Linked DNA regions of Diceros bicornis minor. The main gene of each other region encodes a partner of the protein of the gene in region 2 in a complex. Links are inferred from orthologs where the notes say so. Each region holds a gene or a part of one and is shown on either strand. Other genes may lie near its edges.

Region 1 (10,484 bases), on a different chromosome or scaffold from region 2:
CAATCTTCAAAAAAGATCCTTGAGAAAGGTACTTCCAACACCTTCAATTTACAGATGAGGAAATTAAGGCACTGAGAAGTTAACCTGAAACCAGGATTTGTGTCCAGGCCATTTGGTTTTCGCCTCCCAGTACAGATTATATCTCATTGTGAATATTAGCTGCCCTCTAATCTTATCCATATATAATTCCTCTAGTTTTTAGACTTATTACTATAATATTTGAGATTAGTGTAGATCTGTCTGATCATGTTTTTTAACCAACAGCCAAAATAGGGCCAAAAGGAACAAAGATGCCAAAGATCACTAGGGACCCAATGGCAAAGCCAGGTATAAGCAAGTGTCCTCACTAAAATATATGTCTAAGACTGATATTGATCAGAATGAAGTCTCTTGGGCACTCAGATGTAACTGATGAAATGCCCAAGTGATAAGTTTCTTTTCTTGTTTTCAGCTTGATGGCTGCAGGTCAGTGGTTCTCAAACTGTTGTGTATGTCACAGTCTTACCTGGGGAGCTTTTTAAAAATATAGTTGCTGGGCCCCATTTCACATCTGTGCCAGAATCACTGCGGTAGGGCTTGGGCTGCTGTCTTATTAACAAATTCCTGGGCCGGCCCCGTGGCTTGGCGGTTGGGTGCACGGCGCTCTGCTGCTGGCGGCCCGGGTTTGGATCCCGGGTGCTCACCGACGCACCGCTTGTCCGGCCATGCTGGGGCCGCGTCCCACATACAGCAGCTAGAAGGATGTGCAGCTATGACATACAACTATCTACTGGGGCTTTGGGGGAAAAAAAAATTCCTGAGATGATTTTGTTTCATTCCAAATTTGCTTCTCCTCGTTCTTCATTATATTCTCTTCCCCATTCTCCACTTCCTACTCTCTTTTCCATTCCCCATTCTCCATGGCCTTTCCTCATTAAATATTTATTGAGTGCCTACTAGAGGCCAGGCACAGAGTTCTATGGGCTGGGGTAGAGCAGCGAACATGACAAAACAAAGCCCCTGTCCTGATGGAGACAGAAAATGAACACATAAACAAATAAATAAGAGCCAGTGCAGCACAGTGATTAAGAGCTTGGCTAAGTCAAAACAAATGTAGATTGACACATGGTTCTTCCTCTTCCTAGCTGTGCGACCTTGGGCAAGTTACTTAATTGCTCAACAGTCTCTTCCTCTATAAAATGGGACTAATAATATTCCCTGCCTCTCAGAGCTGTTGTAAGGATTGAATAAGATAATGCACATAAAGTACTCAGCACAGTGCCCGGTACATTGTCCGAAGTCGGTTAACTCATTATTTTGCAAGCATCAGCATTATAAAGTTTAATTACTTCTCCAATATTGCCATCAATATGTTATATTAAGTTCAGCTTCTGTGTTTATTCAACATTCAACAATGTTTTAGAGATGTCCATGTATCTCTAAAAATTTCCCCCTGCACAGTTGCTAGTTTCCTGGGCAGTTTCTGTACCATACCAAGCTTCAAATTGCTAAAAGGGAGAGACATCAACAACATAGTCCACCAAGGCTCCCAGCACCTCGTTTACGTACCTGAGTAGCTCCATGGCTGGACAGAGTTAAGAATGCTATAAAACCTCACTGATACACTAAGTTAAAAAACAAACAACAACAACAAAAACTAAGTAGAAGAGCATAGGCGACAAACACTGAGAGCCAACATTAGCAGGGGGATCAATCAGATGATATGGCAGTTAAAGGATACATAAAAAAAAATAACTGTCCTTCGTATTTGTTGGCGCAAGAACATTCACATACATCATTATCTGTCCTTGGGCCCCATAACAACTTTGCAAGTAATATTAATCTCATTTGACTGATGTGTAAACTAAGGCTCAGAGAAGTCAAATGAATAGCCCAAGGTCACTCTGCTAGTTAGTGGCAGGTCAGTGATTCAAACCCATGTCTCCTGACACTTATGCAGTGTGTTGTACAAATAAATAGCATTTTATTTTTTTCACAGAAACATTTTAAATGCTTAATCTACCCACTTTAAAAATAAAGAATAAGAAATATAAAAAGTATCCAATATACAAAATGCAAATAGTCTTCAGTTCCATATAAGTGACATTTACTTTTTTTTTGCACTGATCGTGGCTGTAATTTTCCATTTGCTTATGTGATTACTTGATTAAGCTCTGTCTCTGCCGCTCTACCAAAATGGACCATGTCCGTTTTTATCTAACACCTAGTAGGTGATCAATATGTACTTGATGAATGAATGAATGAATGATCCACTGGTGTGGATTATAGCCAGAAGGGGGGTCATAGGCATGTAGGTGAATTTAGTCTTTGGTTTAGGCAGAAGCAGAAATGCCAGCACTATCTTACACGGAGACACTGATGACGGGAAAAGGAATTACTTTTTAATTGCTGGAGAGGATGAATTTGCTTGTATTGGACTTAGCAATTTGAGCTCAAGGACAGGGCTGATCTAAGTAGAGCAGATGCAGTTGCTAAGCAGTTGTTTACAGAGTAGTGAAAGTAGAGAGACTGTATCAATTCTACAAACAAGAAGGGACGGTTTCTTAATGTGTGTTCCTCAACCCAACTGCATCAGAGTATCTGGGCAGTTTAAGAAGGCAGATTCCTGGACCCAGACCTTCAGAATCCCCAGCGCGTGGTGCCAAAATATCTGCATTTTTAACAAGCTCCCCAGGTAATTCTCCCTTCCAAAGTTTAAGAACTGCTGGGCTGGAGTAACAACAGACCAGCAGAGGGTCTAAGACCCTGTCTAGGGAAAAGACTGCATTATAAAGCGAGAAGAAAGGAAACCTACAAAAGAGACTGCAATAGCAGCCAGCGAGCCAGAGTCAGAGGCCTTGTTATGAGCCAAGGAAGGTGAAAATTAAGAACAAGTAAATGGCCAAGAGCGCCAAATGTAACAGAGAGGTCAAGAATGAAGATGGAGAAAAGTCATGAAGATGGAATCCAGATTTTTCTGGTCCTGGACCTGTTCTTCAAGACTGAACTCAAAACATTTCCTCCATAGGGATGTATTCCTGCTCCTCTGGACAGAGTCCATCTTTGTGGTATGTAATTCTGGTATAGCATTTCACCTATTGTACTGAAATTCTGTTTTTCTTCCTCCTTAGACATACCTGTTTTTCTTCCTCATTAGACTGAGAATTCCTTGAAGGCAGGAACTGTGTCTTGTTCCTTTTCAAATCACCAGGGTCTGGCATAATACCTGGCATACAGAAAATATCTGCAATTGCCTGCTGAATGAGTGATTGGAGAGCAATTGGAGGCAAAGAGCACAGTCTGGCAGTGAAGATAGAGGAATCCTATGTGTCTGAAGGCAAATGAGAGCAGGGCAGTCGATGCTGCTGGAACAGGGAATAAGCAGGGAATCAGTTCCTCCAGAGCACAGAAGAGATGTGATTAAAACCACAGCTTTAGCTTTAAAAAGCAGGAAGGACCATTCTTTCTCTGAGTCTTGAAGGAAGCAAGAGAGGATGGGTGTACAAGATAAAGTAGCTTAGCTCATGTGGCCCTACTCTAAATAAGTCAAGAAGTTAAGGCCTTTGCTGAGAGTGAGGTACAAAAAGCGGGATCTAGAGCCTGAAGAAACAGACTGGAATAGTACTGGTGGGAGTGTACTGGTGAATCAATAAGAGATTAAGAAATCCTAGGCTATATCCTCAAGCATGGTTAAGAGCATGTTATCACAATCTGACTGCTTTCTGTAGCCCTTGAAATAACTGGCTGCATCTATCAGTTATGCTAATTGGAACTGGCTGCCAGACCTGGGGCCTGAAACTAACTGGAGTCACGGACCTCTTCCTCTCCTGAACTCTCCTTGCACTTCCTTTCCACTTTTTACGACACTCACCACAGTCCATCTCCTATCATAGCTATTTGTCTTTTCCTTGCTAGACTTTAAATAGTTGAGGGCAAAGGCTGTGTCTTATTCACTGTTGTGTTGTACCTGAGCATACTGCTTTGTAGATAATAGGCAGAGGCTGTCTGTCTCAGGCACACACCTCTAATATAGCATTTATCATACTGTATTTGTTTGCTTGTCTGTTTCCCTTTTCAGACCATGAGCTCAAGGTCAGGGATTGAGTTGATCTATGTCTCTCTCGTGTTTGGAACTTAGTACTTTCACAGATGTTTATTGAATCCAATTTTGTTGAAATGAATGCATGGAGGAGAGAATAAAAAAAAGATAGCAAAATGTGGGGATTTGGGGGGACATCTAAAGAGATGGCATACTGCACAGGCACTCCATTTTGTCACTCGTGTCACACACAATCATTGGTCTCATCCTGACATCAGTAAGTGTGTAAAGCTGGTGGAAATTGAGGCTGGGGGACCTGTTTTCAAATACACTGTAAATGTTTGGAATACACATTCTGGATCTTCTTATGTAAATCTCCAGCTACTCCCTTTCGTGGTACAGGGCCTGCGTGAAAGGGCTAAGGGTCCCGTGGAGCTAAACGACTGCTTTGTCCACGCTTATTAGGTACCTGTTTGTATGGGATACAATGTTACATCGACATGGTCACTGTCTTCCTGAGGATGACAATTTAAGGTTGACATAGCAGGGAAAAATAAAAAGAAAGATGAAACGGCATAGAAACAGCATTGGATCAAAACAATGGAAATCCCCCCCACCCCCTTTACAGGAAAAGTAGCTACTTTAAGGACATCTTTAAATTTTCATTAGTTTGTTAGGGCTTTTTTTTTTTTTAAAACCATTGGCTTGCAGTCTGTGAGCCCAGTAGAAAAATAACAACATCTGACCCTTACATGGGGCACACTATGTGCCCAAGCATTAGTCTATGTGATTTAGATATATTAACTCATTTCTCTTAACTCTATGAGATTGATAGCATTGTGATCTCCATTTTGGATGTGCTGAAATTGAGGGACAGAGAGGTAATGCGACGTGCTCAAGGTCATAGAGCTAGAAGTGGGGGAGCTGGGATTCAAACCCAAGCAGTCTGGCTCCATACATCAAAGAGGAAAGCGCCCGTTTCGGTGTCTGATTTACCTCTGTGAGTTATAAAGAAAATCACTTATCTTTTCTGATTATGATAATCTCAGCATTTATAGAGGGCCTGTTATATGCCAGGGACGCTAATACATGCTTTACTTGCATCATCTCATTTCTTCCTCACAATAAACCCGTGAGATACTATTTTTATCCCCATTTTAAAGATACAAAAAATTTAAGGTGCAGAGATTAGAACGATTCGCCCAAGGACTGAAATCCAGGCAGAGTGACTCTACTACGAGCTCAGTCTTTCCTGGCAGTAAAATGAGAGAACGGAGGACCTCAAAGGGATGCCACGAGAGTACAATGAAATAATGGATGTGCAAAGGCCTCGGTGAACAAGTGCAAGGGATAAGGCCTACCCGTTTGAATCACTGTTGAAAACTGGTTCCCCAGGGCCCCTGTCCAACGGTTTCTAGTTCCAACCCTGCCCCTTCTCCGCCCAACCCACAGCGATATCTTTGAATCTCTTTCTCTATCTCCTCGGATCCTGCCCCCAAACACTTGGCTGAGCGGCGGACCGGAGAATAGAAGGTACGCGCGCGAGCAGGAGGCGGGGCCTACCTCCCGGATCCGTACTGGGGGCGGCCTCTGCACATGCGCCGTTGCTCTGCGGCGTCAGTTGCCCCTTCCCTACAGCCAATCAGGGCTCGCGGCGCGCTCGGGACGTATTAACGCCGTGTGAGTCGTTGCGTGCGAGGGGGGCGACGTAAGGGCGCTCGGCGAGCCCGTCTCTCCTCGAATGAAAGGAAACAACCTCCGGCGACAGAGCCCCGCTCCCAGGCGCTGCCGGAGAACCGAGACCGACTTCTTTCTCTTTCCCCTCATTGGCGCTTCTCCCTTGCCGTTCGCCTCTGGGCCCCGCCGGTGAGTCCCCACAGTACACTGGGGCCCCCCATTCTCTGCCCGGCGGGAGAAGACAAGGAGGATGGCGGTGGCCAGGCCGCCGCCCCTGCCCGTTGTTAAGGGGGACTCTTGGTGGTCTCGCTTTATTGTCAGAGACCCCAGAAGCACCGCTCATTGAAGGCGCTTGGCAAAGAGGCTGCTGAGAAAAGTGCTTTGGAGGAGCTAAAGGAGAGGTTAGGCTTAAGCCTAGACTTCGGGGGAGGGGGCGCAACATTTAGGGAGGAAAAAATCCTGGGGATTTTTAGTCTTTGCCATTGCTTAGGACATATTTGGGAAGGAGGGAGACTCCCAGTTTGGGAAAAGTAAGAGGAAGAATTGTTAGGATGGCAAGAGGGTTAGCCTTACGGAATGAGGAAAAACTCCGGGGTGGGGGGAATGAGGGGTGAAACTGAGATATGAAACGAAGACTATTAGAGGGCGAACTCCTGGGGGAGGGTTAAAGAAAGTGGTAGGATGATGTTTTCCTGGATTCGGGAGCATTGGAAAAGGACAATTAGGGGACCCTGACTTTACGATCGAAAGGAACCTGCTAAAGTGTTTTAGAGAAGATAGTTTTGCGAGTTTAGCGCTTGATTAGAGGGAGATCTTGGAGTCTAGTGTGTTTTGAGGAATAAATAACGGAGAGGATCTGGTACGTTATGTGTACCATCCTTTATTATATGGACGAACAGCACGACATTCTTTTGAAATTTGTTCGTTTCGATATTCTGCGTGGAACTTGAAAAATCCTTTATTTTTGAAAAGCCTTTTCTTTTCATCGGCTTACTACGTAATATCAGGTCTTATTCATACAGTTCAAATTCTTTCTCTACCCTTGGGTTTTTGAAACAACTGGAAAATTCCTTCAGTTTCCTTTTGAATAACCGCAAAAAGCAGTGCGAAGCATGTAATATTATCGTGCAACCAAATTCAGGTGCCCTTCCGGTTCATCTCTTATTCGTTTATTTCTCTCCACTGTAACTTTCCTGACAGAAATACTGCTTGTTTGGGGATCACGTTTATAAATTTTGATCTGTATATTTCAACTTGCTTGCGTGTGGAACTGTTTGATCTTCCGGAACTGCAGTTTTTGTTTTGTTTTGTTTTGTTTTCCTGTGAAAAATGGTGTTTCAGATACCAGGCATTGAATGAGCTCTCGAGTGTGTTCTTGAATGCTCTCCTTGATGTTTCAGGTTATTTCTACCTTGGTGCTTCACAGCATCTTGGAAAATCAGAAACGTGTTGATCGCTTCAGCCTAACCGAGCTTTTGTATTTTTTCAGACATTTAAATTATGTTTTTCACGCTATCTTTGCCTCTTTATTTCTGCTTTATAACATTATCCGTAATGTTGTGTTTCTTTTAAGGAAAAGGTTTTATTGTTGGGTGAAAGCATCAAACTTTGATCTCTGCATGCCCTGAAAAACCTTTTAGACTGAAATTAAAATGCCATATTGAATCATTATGAACCCCTTAATATTGGTCCTTGGAATGCCCTTATTCTCCTTAACGAGAGACCACAAATGTGACAGCATTAGATAAAAATCTGTATTTTTATGATAAAGACATTTTTGCTAGGAGTCATTGTTTCCATGATGTTCTCCACTTCATGTTTTACAAGGAGGCTGTAAAAAAATTAGCAAGATATGCACAGATGCATTATTTGAATTTTAGTGGAAAAATCCATTTAGTCATTACACATTGAGGAAAGTTTTTAATTCGTTTGGTGCACTTTTTTGTGTTTCTGTTCACTTTACAAATTATATTTAAACTAATTACAGAAAGAAAGAACACTAGAATATTTTTTGAGTGCAAAATAAACTGTACCTTTTTTCTCTTTTAGATTTTGGGGTCGTTGATACTCAGAAAAGCAGGTTCTCAAAATTAGGATGAGAAATTTACCTGTTTATAAATTGAAAAGAGGCAGAATTCAATATGGATAGAATTTTGGGGGTACCATTTTCAGAATTAATTTCAAGAATAAAAAATGATTTTCTACTGTAGCAATTTTCTTTATCTTAAGCCGGTTTTATAGCCCGTCTAGGATTGTAGAGATATTACACTATTAAAGATGTCTGTATAGGTTAGATTCATAATGTGCCATCCTTTCAGCTGGCCAAGGATGTCCCAGAAAGATGCTGGATACATTACAGTGGTTTCAGAGTGCTTACTATTCATTGCATGGTAGTAAAGAAGGCTAATTTAGAACTCAAATAGCAAATTTTGGTGCTATTTATGAATTTTGGTGTTTTGCATAGTTAATTCTAAAGATTTTGGCAGCTATATTCTTGATAAAGCAACTGAACACATATTTGCCTGAGCAAATGCAAACACAACACACTTCCCCTTTTGTTTCTTTTGTTTCTCTGTTATGTCTTTTTTTTTCTTTAATCCTAAAAGTATTTGCTGCCTGTTTTCAATCAGTTTCACGGTTTATAGCCGGTGCTATGAATACAGTACTGTTGTAAAGTCTCCAATGCCATTTGGAAAACTGAGGTATTTAAAATTGTAGACAGCGTTAAGTTTGTTAAACCCATGAACGCAGAGACTGTCAGGGCCTTTGAAGTTTCGTTAAAAAGAAAAACTGAGATATCAGTTGATGAGAAGACCTGTTTCTTTGTGACTTCATGTTAAATTTTAATTATCTACATTTTTATATTATAAAGCGCTGAATGGTTTACAGCTACCACCTTGCTGGCATCCAGCTGCTACTGTTCTTGTTGGTGAACAAGTGCTACTCAGAAAGCTACAATGTAGCGTTAGTGAGTCCATATTTTCAACATAGTATTATGAAAATGTTCAAATATATGGAAACATGGAAGGAATTTAGTAAATTTTAAGACAAAAATTTGAGATTTTATTGATTGTAATGCGTGTTGTGGCAACCTGGGTCCTGAACTGCATAGTACTGTTGATTTGGGAAAACTACACAAATCAAATTTTATATTTTTTTAGATTCTTCTGAAGAATCCATGTTGAGAATGATGATCTAAATCTGAAACCTTCCATGTTAGAGCTTTTCTTCCCTTTTTTTGTTTGACTATACCACCTATAATTATAATTTGACTAAATTTAAGGCTCATTCAGAGAAATTTTCCTTCCTTTATACAATATTACTAATTTAAGTATGAAAGTGACTGCATTTAGAACACTACTCTTAATTTGTAACTTTAGTTTGATAAACTGATTCTCGGAGGAAATCGCAGTCAGATAATATAGTTGTTTTTATAAATAATTGATTCCTAAAGTCGATGCTTTTGAATAGACTGTTATAAGCTTATTTTTGTCTTTACATGAAAAAGGAATACAATAGCAAAAATTAATTTATTAAAGACTTATACGTGATTTTTTTTTTAACTTGAGAATAATTCGAGTTTTAAAAATAAGTGTTCCAAAGTCATGGTTAAGTAAATTCATTTCTCTTTTGTTAGTTAATTAATATGTGAACTTTGAGGAATTATGCAATTATAGAATTTTGTTCACTCTGGATATTGTGTAGTTCCCTTAGTAGTTTTTGCTCTGCTCTTAGGTATATAATTCTTTGTCTCCTTGAAGGGGCACTTAGCTATATGTGAAAAATATTTTTCATTAATTATGTCAGCAGATGATTGTTTTAATATCATACATTGTACATTTTTTATTTATCTACGCAGAAATAGTTCTAATTATTTTATGTATCCCCTAATTTGGGAGCAGTTTGATTTTTTCCCATTACTTCATTAACTTATCTTTATGCATACATACATATTTTTCTATTTTGGAGGCATCTTAGGTTTAAATATTAATTTGTCTATACTAAATAGCCATTTTAAAATGCATATATTAAAACTTAGGTCAAATATTAACTTACATGACTATGTGTAAACTGGTTTTAAAACAAAATTAACCATTTTGTTGCCCTTCTTATTCTCTGTAGCATTTCTTGAGGCTTAAAGTGGCATTCTAAAGGCAATTTAAAAATCATGTCAAGCTCAGTTGAACAGAAAAAGGGGCCTACAAGACAGCGCAAATGTGGCTTTTGTAAGTCAAATAGAGACAAGGAATGTGGACAGTTGCTAATATCTGAGAACCAGAAGGTGGCAGCACACCATAAGTGCATGGTAAGTAAATGGGCAGCGGCCAAGAGACCTGAAACCGTGAGACTCTTAACAATGAATATTCCTGAATAGGAAAAAACAACTCAGTTAAATTTTTAAGAAATGGTTTCTCACTAATGCTATGCCATTTTTACTAGAAAATTTCCTTTAGATTTAACATCTTACTCATTGTTTCACTGTAATTTCTTTATATATGAACCTTAATTTTTTTTAAATGTAATTTATAGCTCTTTTCATCTGCTTTGGTATCATCACACTCTGATAACGAAAGTCTTGGTGGATTTTCTATTGAAGATGTCCAAAAGGAAATTAAAAGAGGCACGAAGCTGGTAAGTTGGTATTTCTGCCTCTTGAGAATAAAACTTATTTTAAGCTCATTAAGGAGGAAATTGCTTATTTTAGAGTGTATTGCATTATTAGCTGAGTATAATTTTAAATTGCAGTCTTTTTTTTTTTTTTTCATGAACCCGCAAATTCCAAGGCTGG
Region 2 (10,560 bases):
CTAACTGAAATAAGCCGAAAGAGAAAGACAAACACTGCATGATTTCACTCATATGTGGAATATAAAGCAACACATGGTCAGAAAGAACCGTATTGTGGTTACCAGGGGCAAAGAGGGTGGGGGTGGGCACAAGGGGTGAAGGGAGACATATATATGGTGATTGACAAACAAAAATGTACAACCAAAATTTCACAATGTTATAAACTATTAAGACATCAACAACAACAACAAAAAACAAAAAAACTCTTCAACAAAGAGATTCGGAGAACATCTGGACTGGTGAACTTATCAGGTGCTGGGAGGATGAAAAGCCCAGGGAAGGCATGGAAGCTCCAAGCCCCTCCTCTGGTATCTTGCCCTATGCATCTCCTCTATGTGGCTGTTCCTGAGTTGTAGCCCTTATAATAAACTGGTAAACATAAGTAAGGTGTTTATCTGAGTTCTGTGAGTTGTTCTAGCAAATTATTGAACCTGAGCCTCATTGGGGGGTCACGGGAACACCAGAATTTGCAGTTGGCAAGGCAGATGTGTGGGTAGTCTGGGTACTCCATTTGGGGCTGGTGTCTGAAGTAGGAGCAGTCTTGTGGGACTGAGTCCTTAACCTGTGGTGTCTGTGCTAACTCTGGGTGTCAGAACTGAATTGCTGGACACCCAGCTGGTGTCAGAGAACTGAAGAATTGCTTGCTGTGGACAAACCACACATTTAGTGCCAGAAGTGGTGTCAGAGGAAAGAAAACACACCTTTATAATGTATATATTAATACAGTAGAACATACAAAAATTCAGAGTGTGCAATGAAAAAAGCTTGGAGATGACTGCTCAAGAGGATCAAATGAAAATTATACTAACTGTAAGAGAATTCATAGAGGCAGTGTAAAAACTTAATTATAAAATTCCACAGCTTTCACAAATATAATCAATAACCATAGAGAAAACATCATGGAAGAGAAGATCATTTACATCAGAAACAAAAAAGATGAAATACCTAGAAATAATCTTCTCGGGTTACACAAAATAATATATGAAAAATGGAAAAGCATACGTTATTCCTGGAGAAAAAGACTCATATAAATATCAAAGCTTTAATTCTCCCTGTTTATAATTAACATGACTGAAAAATACCAATAGCAATTTTTTGTCTGTGGTTTACTTTAAAGTAACAGGAAAGGAGGTGAAAAGCAGCAGAATATACCACCCCAAAATATGCCACTTTGGCACAAAGATTACTTTGAGCTGAAGACAAGTGAGGGAAGCAGATACAAAGAACTATTTGCCTAAAAGTAGGACATAAATTTGTAAAGGTGTTCCCCTTTGCCTCTGTATCAGCAAGGACAGAAATTAATCACCAGAGAAAAGTCTAGATCCTTATGCATCCAGAGTCAGCACCAGAGGAATCTATATAATAAACTTAGTAACAGCCCTTAGATTCCATTAGTTTCCCCACATATTTACCTTCCCACAATTTGCTGCCCTAGAAGTGCAAAGCGCTTTTCCTTTGTCTTGTCACTTCTCTACAAAATCACTGTGTTTGTTAAGATGCTATATAAGCTCAAGTTCTAAGCATCCCTTTGAGTTACTCATCACTGAGTACTCCTATGTGTATGTGTGTTGCCCATGTTAATAAACTTGTTTGTTATTCTCTAGTTAATCTGTCTTTTGTCAGTCTAATTTGTAGGGCCTCAGCCAATGAACCTAAGAAGGGTACAGGAAGTTTTTTTTCTTCCCCTACAGGGGAATATGGTGGTAGAGAGGAAAAAAGATAAGCCATTATTTGGTAATTGATGAAGCTGGGCAATATGCGCACAGAAGTCATCATACTATCTGCCTAGTTTTGTACATATTTGGAACTTTTAAAATAAAAAGTTTGGGGCCGGCTCGGTGGCGCAAGTGGTTAAGTGTGCGCGCTCCACTGCAGCAGCCCAGGGTTCGCCCGTTTGGATCCCGGGCGCGCACCAACGCACCGCTTGGCAAGCCATGCTGTGGCGGCGCCCCATATAAAGTAGAGGAAGGTGGGCATGGATGTCAGCCCATGGCCAGTCTTCCTCAGCAAAAACAGGAGGATTGGCAGATGTTAGCTCAGGACCGATCTTCCTCCCCCCCCCAAAAAATAATAATAATAAAATAAAATAAAAAGTTAAAAAAATACCAGTAGTGATTTTTACGGATCTGAGCAAGCTGATTTTTACCTACATATAGGAAAAAAAAAGCAAAAATGGCAGGAAAGGGGCAAGTACTGAGCAGAAGATTGTCCTACAGGATATTAAAAGATAGAATAAAGCCTCGATAATTAAATCTGTGGCACTGACACATGAAGAGAGAGAGAAGAAAAGAATAGAATAGTAAGTCTAGCTACAGACCTAAATATAGGCAGAGGAATTCTATACATGATAAAGATGTTGCATTTCAATCAAAGGGAAAAGACAGACTGTTGAATAAATGATGTTAGAACATCTGGTAAATCATCTGGAAAATAATTAAATTGGCTACTTAGTTTCTACCTTACCCTAATCCTGATGTACTCAAGATTTAAATGTTAAAAAAACACATAAATACTAGGAGCAAGAATAATCTATAACTACCAGGAAAAATATAGTTCTCACAAATATGAGCAAAAAAAGCCAAACACAAAAGGCATACATACTGTATGACTCCATTAATAAAATGTTCAAAAATAGACAAAGCTAATCTATGATGTTAGAAGTTAGGCTAATGCAGGGCCAGCCTGGTGACATAGTGGTTAAGTTTCACGCACTCCGCTTTGACAGCCTGGGGTTTGCAAATTCGGATCCCGGGTGTGGACCTACACCACTTGCCAAGCCATGCTGTGGCAGCCACCCACAAACAAAATGGAGGAAGACTGCCACAGATGTTAGCTCAGGACCACTCTTCCTCACCAAAAAAAAAAAAGAAGTTAGGCTACTGGGAGAAGTAGGGAGAGTGATGGTGATTGGAAAGGAGCATGAGAGGGGCTTCTGGGATGCTGTAATATTCTGTTTATAGATCTGGTTACTAGTTATACAGGTGTATTCAGTTTGTGAAAATTCACTTAGGATATGTGCACTCTTCTATAAATATATTATACTTCAATAAAACTTTTATTTTCAATGTAGTAAAAGAAAACACAGGAGAATTATTTTACAATCTCAGAGTGGGCAAGGCCTTCTTAAGTGTAACATCCCAGAAGCCATAAAAAGAGTTAATAAATTTCACTACATAAAAATAAATTTCTGTATAGTAAAGAAGACCAACAACCCAACAGAAAATAAAGACCATGAATATACACATGCCAGAAGGGAAAATACAAATAACTCCAAACATACTAAAATATGTTCAACCCCATTTATAATAAGAAAAACGCAATTAGTATGACAAGATACTTAAATTGGAAAAGACCAAAAAGTATAGTAAAACAGCAAATTGGTAAAATTGTGAGGAAAAAGGCAAACTCATACAATGCTAGTTGAGTATAAACTGGAGCAACCTCAATGGAGATTGGCAATAATTGTTGAAGTTAAAAATGCATATACTTGACAAAGCAATGTAACTTCTGGAAATTTATTCTACAGATACACTTGCACTTGTGCAAAACAATGGATGTACAAGTATATTCATTGCTGCATTGTTTCTAAGAGCAAAAGAGTAGAAATATCATAAACGTCCATCAACTGGAAATTGGTTAAACAAATTCAAGTAAATGCTAGAACATCTTTGCATGTACACTTAAGAAAATGGTAAGGATGGTTGATCTAGAGTGGAAAACTAGGTGGCAGGGGACCAGAGTTGAAAGACTGACTTTTCACTGCACACCTGTTGTACTTTTTGAATCTTGAATCATATATACCACCTATTAAAAACAAATTTTAAAAATTGTTTTAAGTGAGAGAAAAATGAGCTAGGGAGATATGCAGGGTCCAGCAAGTACGAGCCTAGTATGCTATGGTAAATAGTTGGACTCCATACAGAGGATAATGGGAGATTAGTGAAATATTTTAAGCGGGGAAATAAGAGTTCGATTTGTGCTCTCCCAACCACAGCCACCTTTAGGGATGACAACTTAACGTTTACATAGAACTTTAGATTCTGCACTATACTTTCATATTTATTATCTCATTTATTCCTCAGCTAAAGGAACTAAGATGCAGAGAGGTTATGCGATTTGCCTGCAGTCACTAAGCTAATAAATGGCAAAACCAGGTTTGGGTTTTTTTACTAACACACGATCCAGTTAAAATGCCATGTTAGAAGTTCCCTACTTGGCTCTCCGAGTCCTCGAACCTAGCCACACTCTTAACTATCCCACTGATGGAGATACATGGGGGCGACAAACCCGCAAACGCTTGAAAATATGATTATCTTCAGAATTAAGACACAAGTAAAACTCTCACAAGATACATGTGATTAAGCACATGTGGAAAAAGTTCAAGAGACTGTAAACGTGGGAGCCAAGGTGTCCCAACTCTTAGACCAGGTGGCTTTTTCCTTCAGCATCCCCCAAATAAGCACAAGAAACTACAATACAGGGCGAAATGGGACCATGCCTGAAGCACCTTCTGGGGCAAAGTAGAAGGCGAGGCCGGAAGCCCCGGGCAAGGAGAGGGGATGAGAGAAGTCAGCCACCTACTCACACTCGTACTTCCGATTGACTGGAGGATACTTAGCCTTGATCGCCTTCTGCTCCTCAGTCAAGTTGTAATCTCTAATATCTTCCCCTTCCTGCGCCATGATTGCAGCATTAGACACTCTCCTTCCGCCCTTCATCAGCCGGACTTCGGCCCTGACATACAACTTCCGCTCTAGACTCCGCCCCTAGGCACAGACCCTTAAAGAACCAGGACTCCGTTCTCGGGGACGTACTTTTATACCCTAAGACTTCTGTCTGAGGCTCCGCCGCCTGGAGCACATGCTTAAAAGGCCAAGGCCCCATTTTCTGCGCTGGCTTCATCCATAGTTTTTTCCTAAGGACTAAGGCAATAAATTGGAGGAGTCAGGAGTAGGGGACACTTGAATTAGACACCCCTAGGTTTGAGTGATAGAGGCCTTTTCTCGCCGCCTCACCCCGAGTTCATAACTAGACCTGAAAGCACCCTAGACTTCTTATTTGAGTACTTTGAAAGGGTCCTCAGCTTAACAGCCTTTAAGAAAATGGCTGCCCCCAAGGGAGTGCGGACTAAAACTCTCACGTGACCCCAGGCAGGCGCACTCCCACCAGCCCCGCGCGCGCGCGCGCGCGCGCGATCGAAAGAAGTCGGCTCCGGGCCGTGTGGGGGCAGGGGCGGAGCGCGCGCCTTGGCCCCCTCGAAAAGCGACTCCGCGCGTCTGGATAGGCTGCGAACACGGCTTCCCCGCCCACCTCGCCGTTCGGCGCGCTCCGATTGGTCAGTGTTGGCGCGAAGGTGCGCGAGTCGGCCCTCACGCAGGGGCAGCAGGAAACAATAGAGGCCGCGCGCGCAGAGCGAGCGCCCGCTGCCTCCCCGCCCCTCCGGCAACGCTCGACCCCGGGATCCCCGGCTCGCCTGTCCGCCATGGCCGACAAGGAAGGTGAGGGTGCCGGGGCCGCCCCAGGAGGGCAGGGGATGCCGGGCTTGCGCCGCGGCCTCGACACGGCCTAACAGCGAGGGCAGGCCCGACTCTGCCGAGTGCCGTCCCCACCATCGAAGGCGTGAGGAGGAATCGCCCCGCGGGGCGGGCTAACGGCGCGCCAGCTCCTCGGGAGCGGAGGCCCGTCGCAGCGGCGTGAAGCTGGCGGTGGGGGCCGCGGCGGCGGTTTGCTCCCTCCCCGCGCTCTGTGTCGGTCTGCCCGCTTCTCCAGGTGCTGCCGGCCGCGCTCCCTCCCCCGGGGGCCGGCGCTCGGGCCTCCTCACTGGGGCCGCAGATTGGCGCGTAGGGAGCGGTCTCCCGAGGCCCGGCGCCGTCGCCCGAGCGGCTAACGGAGCGTACGGCCGGGAGGACCCGAGCGCGGTTCCGGGCCCGCGAAGGTGTGGAGGCGTGTTGGTGCCTCCGCCTCGGGGGGATTTAGACACATCCCCCCATTTCAGAATCGGGACTCGGGCCGGTAGCTTTGGAAGTGTTAACTGAGTTTCCATTTGTGTTCGCTAACTTGATTTGTTTTTAACTTTTTAGCAGCCTTTGATGACGCAGTAGAAGAACGTGTGATCAACGAAGAGTACAAAATATGGAAAAAGAACACCCCTTTTCTTTACGATTTGGTGATGACCCACGCTCTGGAGTGGCCCAGCCTGACTGCACAGTGGCTTCCAGATGTAACCAGGTAATAGGAATGCCTTGAACGTTATTTTGTTGCGTCCTCAGTGTAGATTTCTCACGTTGATATACCCTGTTTTCTTCTCGCCAGTCGCCGGTAGAAGGCACGTGATCAAAACCTATTGGTGGCATCTTTTCTAGGCAAAATGTAAAGTTATTTTGTAACTTACCTGATAAGGGGAAAACGTGTCGATGTTTTCTGTTTCTGGTACTGAGTTGAGTAGCCATATTATAGCTAGTTGACCGGGTAATTAAAACATGTCAACTTTCATGAAGTATTGTGATGAATCCAGTTTTTTCAGCAAAACACTTGACTCTCTCATTGGTACTAGCTGGTTAATACAAAGATGAGTATAGACATGGTCCTGCCTTCAAGGAGCACACGTCTAGTTGGAAAGGCAGATATAAACTAATAATTACAGTTATATGTGCTAAGAGCAGTTTTAGAGAGATGCTTAGAACTAACACCTGAAGGAGGGGTGGTTTATGTGTATGGGAGTTTACATGATAAGAAGTTATAATCACTTGTATTTCTTACACATGGGTAGCTTACTTCTAATAGAAGATGTAAAATATTATTTAATTTAGTTTGCGTTTGTTCGGGGTCCACTAGGTGTCACATATCAGGGGGTATAAATTTAAGTAAGACGCCTGCCCTTGCCTTGACTGTGTGTGTATAAAATGTAACAGTAATTATCATGAGTGGCACAGATAAAATGATCAGAGAGAAGAAAAATTACCTCAACTTGGGGTATCGGGAAGGGCTTCCAGGAGGAAGTAACAATGCAAAGATGAAGGTGAATTTAGATAATATAAAGTTTTAGCAAAGCCAGTGTGCCTGTTGGAATGATGAATTTTCTAGTGTGAAACTGCTTCACTCTTCAGAATAACATTTAGAAATTAGATTGTGTGCTAAATAACTAAATTCACTCAAAACTCAGGTCTTCAGATGTCAAGATATTTGCAAAACATGGTTATTAGGCTATTCTTCAGCTCAACAAATAATAGAAATTTGATATAAATTTTATTGGTTAACTGAAGAATGAGGCAGTTACCTTCACAGTGACATTAAAGAAAATGGGGAAATCTATTCTAAGGGTGTTAAACAGAACTGTAATAAATACCTAGACACTTAGGGTTGGAAGCTTCTTTATCATGACCAGCGGTTCCCATATTCAACTGATCATCAGAATTACTTGAGTTTGGGGTAAGTGGAGTCATTTCTGTCAGTTCAGTGATAGTTCAAATGATTTAGGAACCTGTGGCAGAGTACTTGATGAGAAGTAGTTGAATGGTGATTCCAGATTTACTGTGATCATGTAATAAATTATGTATATTGGACCAGTGGATCCCAAATATTGGCCACCCCATACCTACTAAATCTGGAACCCGTGTTCTTAAAAAGCTTCCCATATAATGTAGTGATTAACTAGGTTTGGAAAGCAGTGAATTAGACTCAATTCCCCAAGGCTGGGATCTGCACTATCGTGTTAGTAGCTTTCTACTTTAGCTGATCTAGGTAAATAAACCTTTCTGCAATGTGTGACATTAGTCCAAATACCTTGCTTTTTTCCTTCCTTTTTTTGGTATTTCTACTCACCTAACAATGTTAATTTTTTTAAGATGAGACTTACTTATAAGCAAGTATCCCTAATGCCAGGTGTTTAGTTTTTTGTGTGTTTATGTGTATTTTCATATCTTTTGTAAAAACAAAACACAATTTTACTTCTATAATTCTCTTTTTCCCTACCTCACTTCCTTTGGTTCTTTGTTTAACCTGAGCGTAAGCATTTCTAATTTTCTGTTGACAGCCCACTTTTCTTTCCTCTACTTTTTCTATGTAGGATATATATGGCTGTTACCTCTCTGCAAAGGAATTCCTATTAGTATCTCTAGACCCAACTTCTGGGCTCTTCCTGAATTTTCAGGTGCCTACTGGTGTCTTTGCAGTATCTTATTGGCTTCCCCAACACATGTTCTAAACTGCATGTGTTCTTTCAGTGGAGGTCCCACCCCAACTTTCTCCCTGTCATAGTTGACTTTGGTTTGACGTTTCCTAGGTTTTTCCCTTTCTCCACTTGACAGTCCATTTATAAGCCCTGATGAATTCTACTTGTGTAGCATCACAATCAGATAGAGAGATTGTAAAACAGATTGTTGAGTTCCTCAAGTGCCCAACTCGAGTTTCTGATTCAGTAGGTCTCTACAGTGGGTCTGGGAATTTGCATTTCTAGCAAAAGTTCTGATGTGACGCTGATGCTGTTGGTCCTGATACCATACTTTAAAAACCTCTGCTTTACGCTGTTAGATTAATCCATCTGAGATAACTTAAATGGTGCTGTGTCCCTTAGAAATTTTCCATAGTCCTTTGTCCCCTACAGCATAGAGTCCAGAATTTCTTACGCTGGTATTCAATACCCTAGAGTCTGATTTTAATCTGCTTTCTAGCCTTTTCTCCCACTGTGTTTTCCCATATCCAAAGTCAGATTTGGACTTGAGTCCTAGTTCTGTTACTTAGTGGTTGTGTGATCTTAGGCAAGTTGTTTAATTTTCCTAAACCTCGAGTATTTTCATCTTTAAATTGCAGTAATACTTCATAGTGTTATTATGGTGTTTAAATGATAGAAGGTATGTGAAGTGCTTACCATAGTGTCTGGCACTTTGTCAACCTTCCCTTTTGCTCAAATCCCTTTCCTTGGAATACTGTCTTCCAAAGCTTGACCCAAACTTCCAGGTTTTATCTCTCATTTTGAGAACTGCTCAGGTATCACCTCTTCCATGAACACTTTCTTATTCCAGAAGTAATCTTTCTTATCTAAACTCTTACATTCTTGTGTACTTTTCATATACTATGTATTGACTTGTATTTTAATTGTTTTTGTACGTGACTGCCAAATTGCTCCTGATTTGGGGGTTTGTGGTGTTTTTTGTTTTTTTTTTTTTTTTTTTTGGTGAGGAAAATCAGCCCTGAGCTAACATCCGAGGCCAATCCTCCTCTTTTTTTTTTTGCTGAGGAAGATTGGCCCTGGGCCAACATCTGTGCCCATCTTCCTCTACTTTGTATGGGACACTGCCACAGCATGGCTTGACAACCGGTGCCTTGGTGCGCCCCCAGGATCCAAACCTGCGAACCCAGGGCTGCTGAAGCACTTAACTGCTTGTGCCACTGGACCGGGGTTTGTTTGTGGTTTTTTGTTTGTTTGTTTGTTTGTTTTTTGGTGAGGAAGATTGGCCCCAAGCTTAACATCTGTGCCAGTCTTCCTCTATTTTGTATGTGGGATGCTGCCACAGCATGGCTTGATGAGCGTTGTATAGGTCCGGGCCTGGGATCCAAACCTGCAAACCCCTGGCTGCCGAAGCAGAGTGTGCGAACTTAACCACTACGCCCCCAGGCTTGCCCCAACCCCTTGTTTTCTGAGAACAGGAATCACATCTTAATCTTCTTTGTTCTTCCATAGTGTTTGGAGCAATATGTCCATTGATTAGGCACTTAGTAAATACTTGAACAATTAGTTTACCTACTGTTACTTCCTTTCCTTTCCCTTTTAATGAAGTTAACCTAATGAATTAACGTCAAGTATTTGTGTACCCAACAATTGTTTTCTTTCCCTCCAATCCGTTGTAAAAGAGTGAGTAGTTAATCCACATTTTATTTCGTTAGACTTTTTCCCTAAAATAATTGTAAATTTTTGGCCAAGTTAAGAAATACTTAGAAAATTAAGTGCTATGTGGTCCTCCTTATACTCTGCTCTGTGGAAGATTCATTAAAAGTAGAAAATGTGGCTCATGATGACTTGCTTCTCTCAAAACCTGGTTGTAATAGTGCCTTTTGTATACATGTGTATCACAGACTTTGTAGTCTTTCTTAGTGTTACTAATTTGACTAGTGACCATATACCGCTATTACAGACCAGAAGGGAAGGATTTCAGCATTCATCGACTTGTCCTGGGGACACACACGTCGGATGAACAAAACCACCTTGTGATAGCCAGTGTGCAGCTCCCTAACGATGATGCTCAGTTTGATGCTTCACACTACGACAGTGAGAAAGGAGGTAGGAATCTTAAAGGTGAAAGAAGGAATAATGTATGGGTTATATCTTTCATACCTTTGAATTATCATAAAAAGGATGTATAGTTTGATAAAATAGCCTCTCAGGTTAGAAACAAAATTTTAAGCTTTGGAAAGCCCGAGTTTGCAGTATAGGTATTAGGTGTCAGAAGACATACTTAACACGTACTGGGTTCTGTACTTTTCTATAAACTTTCCTCTACTAAATTTGGTGGTGGGGTAATGTA

What was found.
Region 1: the proteins of RBBP4 (region 2) and PHF6 are in contact, whole or in part, in a crystal structure (PDB 4R7A), measured with the Homo sapiens proteins. The link is inferred for Diceros bicornis minor from reciprocal best matches to the Homo sapiens genes RBBP4 and PHF6. Residues at the interface, in NP_005601.1 of Homo sapiens: Ala39, Leu40, Glu41, Trp42, Pro43, Leu45, His71, Thr72, Ser73, Glu75, Glu126, Asn128, Arg129, Pro145, Glu179, Tyr181, Glu231, Asn277, Phe321, Lys376, Glu395, Asn397; in NP_001015877.1 of Homo sapiens: Arg163, Lys164, Gly165, Pro167, Arg168, Lys169, Thr170.

Annotation. Positions count from the first base shown.
Region 1 is NC_080781.1:122,303,611-122,314,094, forward strand, and holds the start of PHF6 (PHD finger protein 6), read left to right. Parts: upstream 1-5,736; 5' UTR 5,737-5,884; intron 5,885-9,817; 5' UTR 9,818-9,863; coding exon 9,864-10,001; intron 10,002-10,225; coding exon 10,226-10,327; intron 10,328-10,484.
Region 2 is NC_080752.1:47,308,734-47,319,293, forward strand, and holds the start of RBBP4 (histone-binding protein RBBP4), read left to right. Parts: upstream 1-5,431; 5' UTR 5,432-5,522; coding exon 5,523-5,538; intron 5,539-6,120; coding exon 6,121-6,268; intron 6,269-10,170; coding exon 10,171-10,316; intron 10,317-10,560. Other genes in the region: ZBTB8OS (protein archease), read right to left, coding at 4,626-4,758. UniProt on the Homo sapiens protein: Core histone-binding subunit that may target chromatin assembly factors, chromatin remodeling factors and histone deacetylases to their histone substrates in a manner that is regulated by nucleosomal DNA.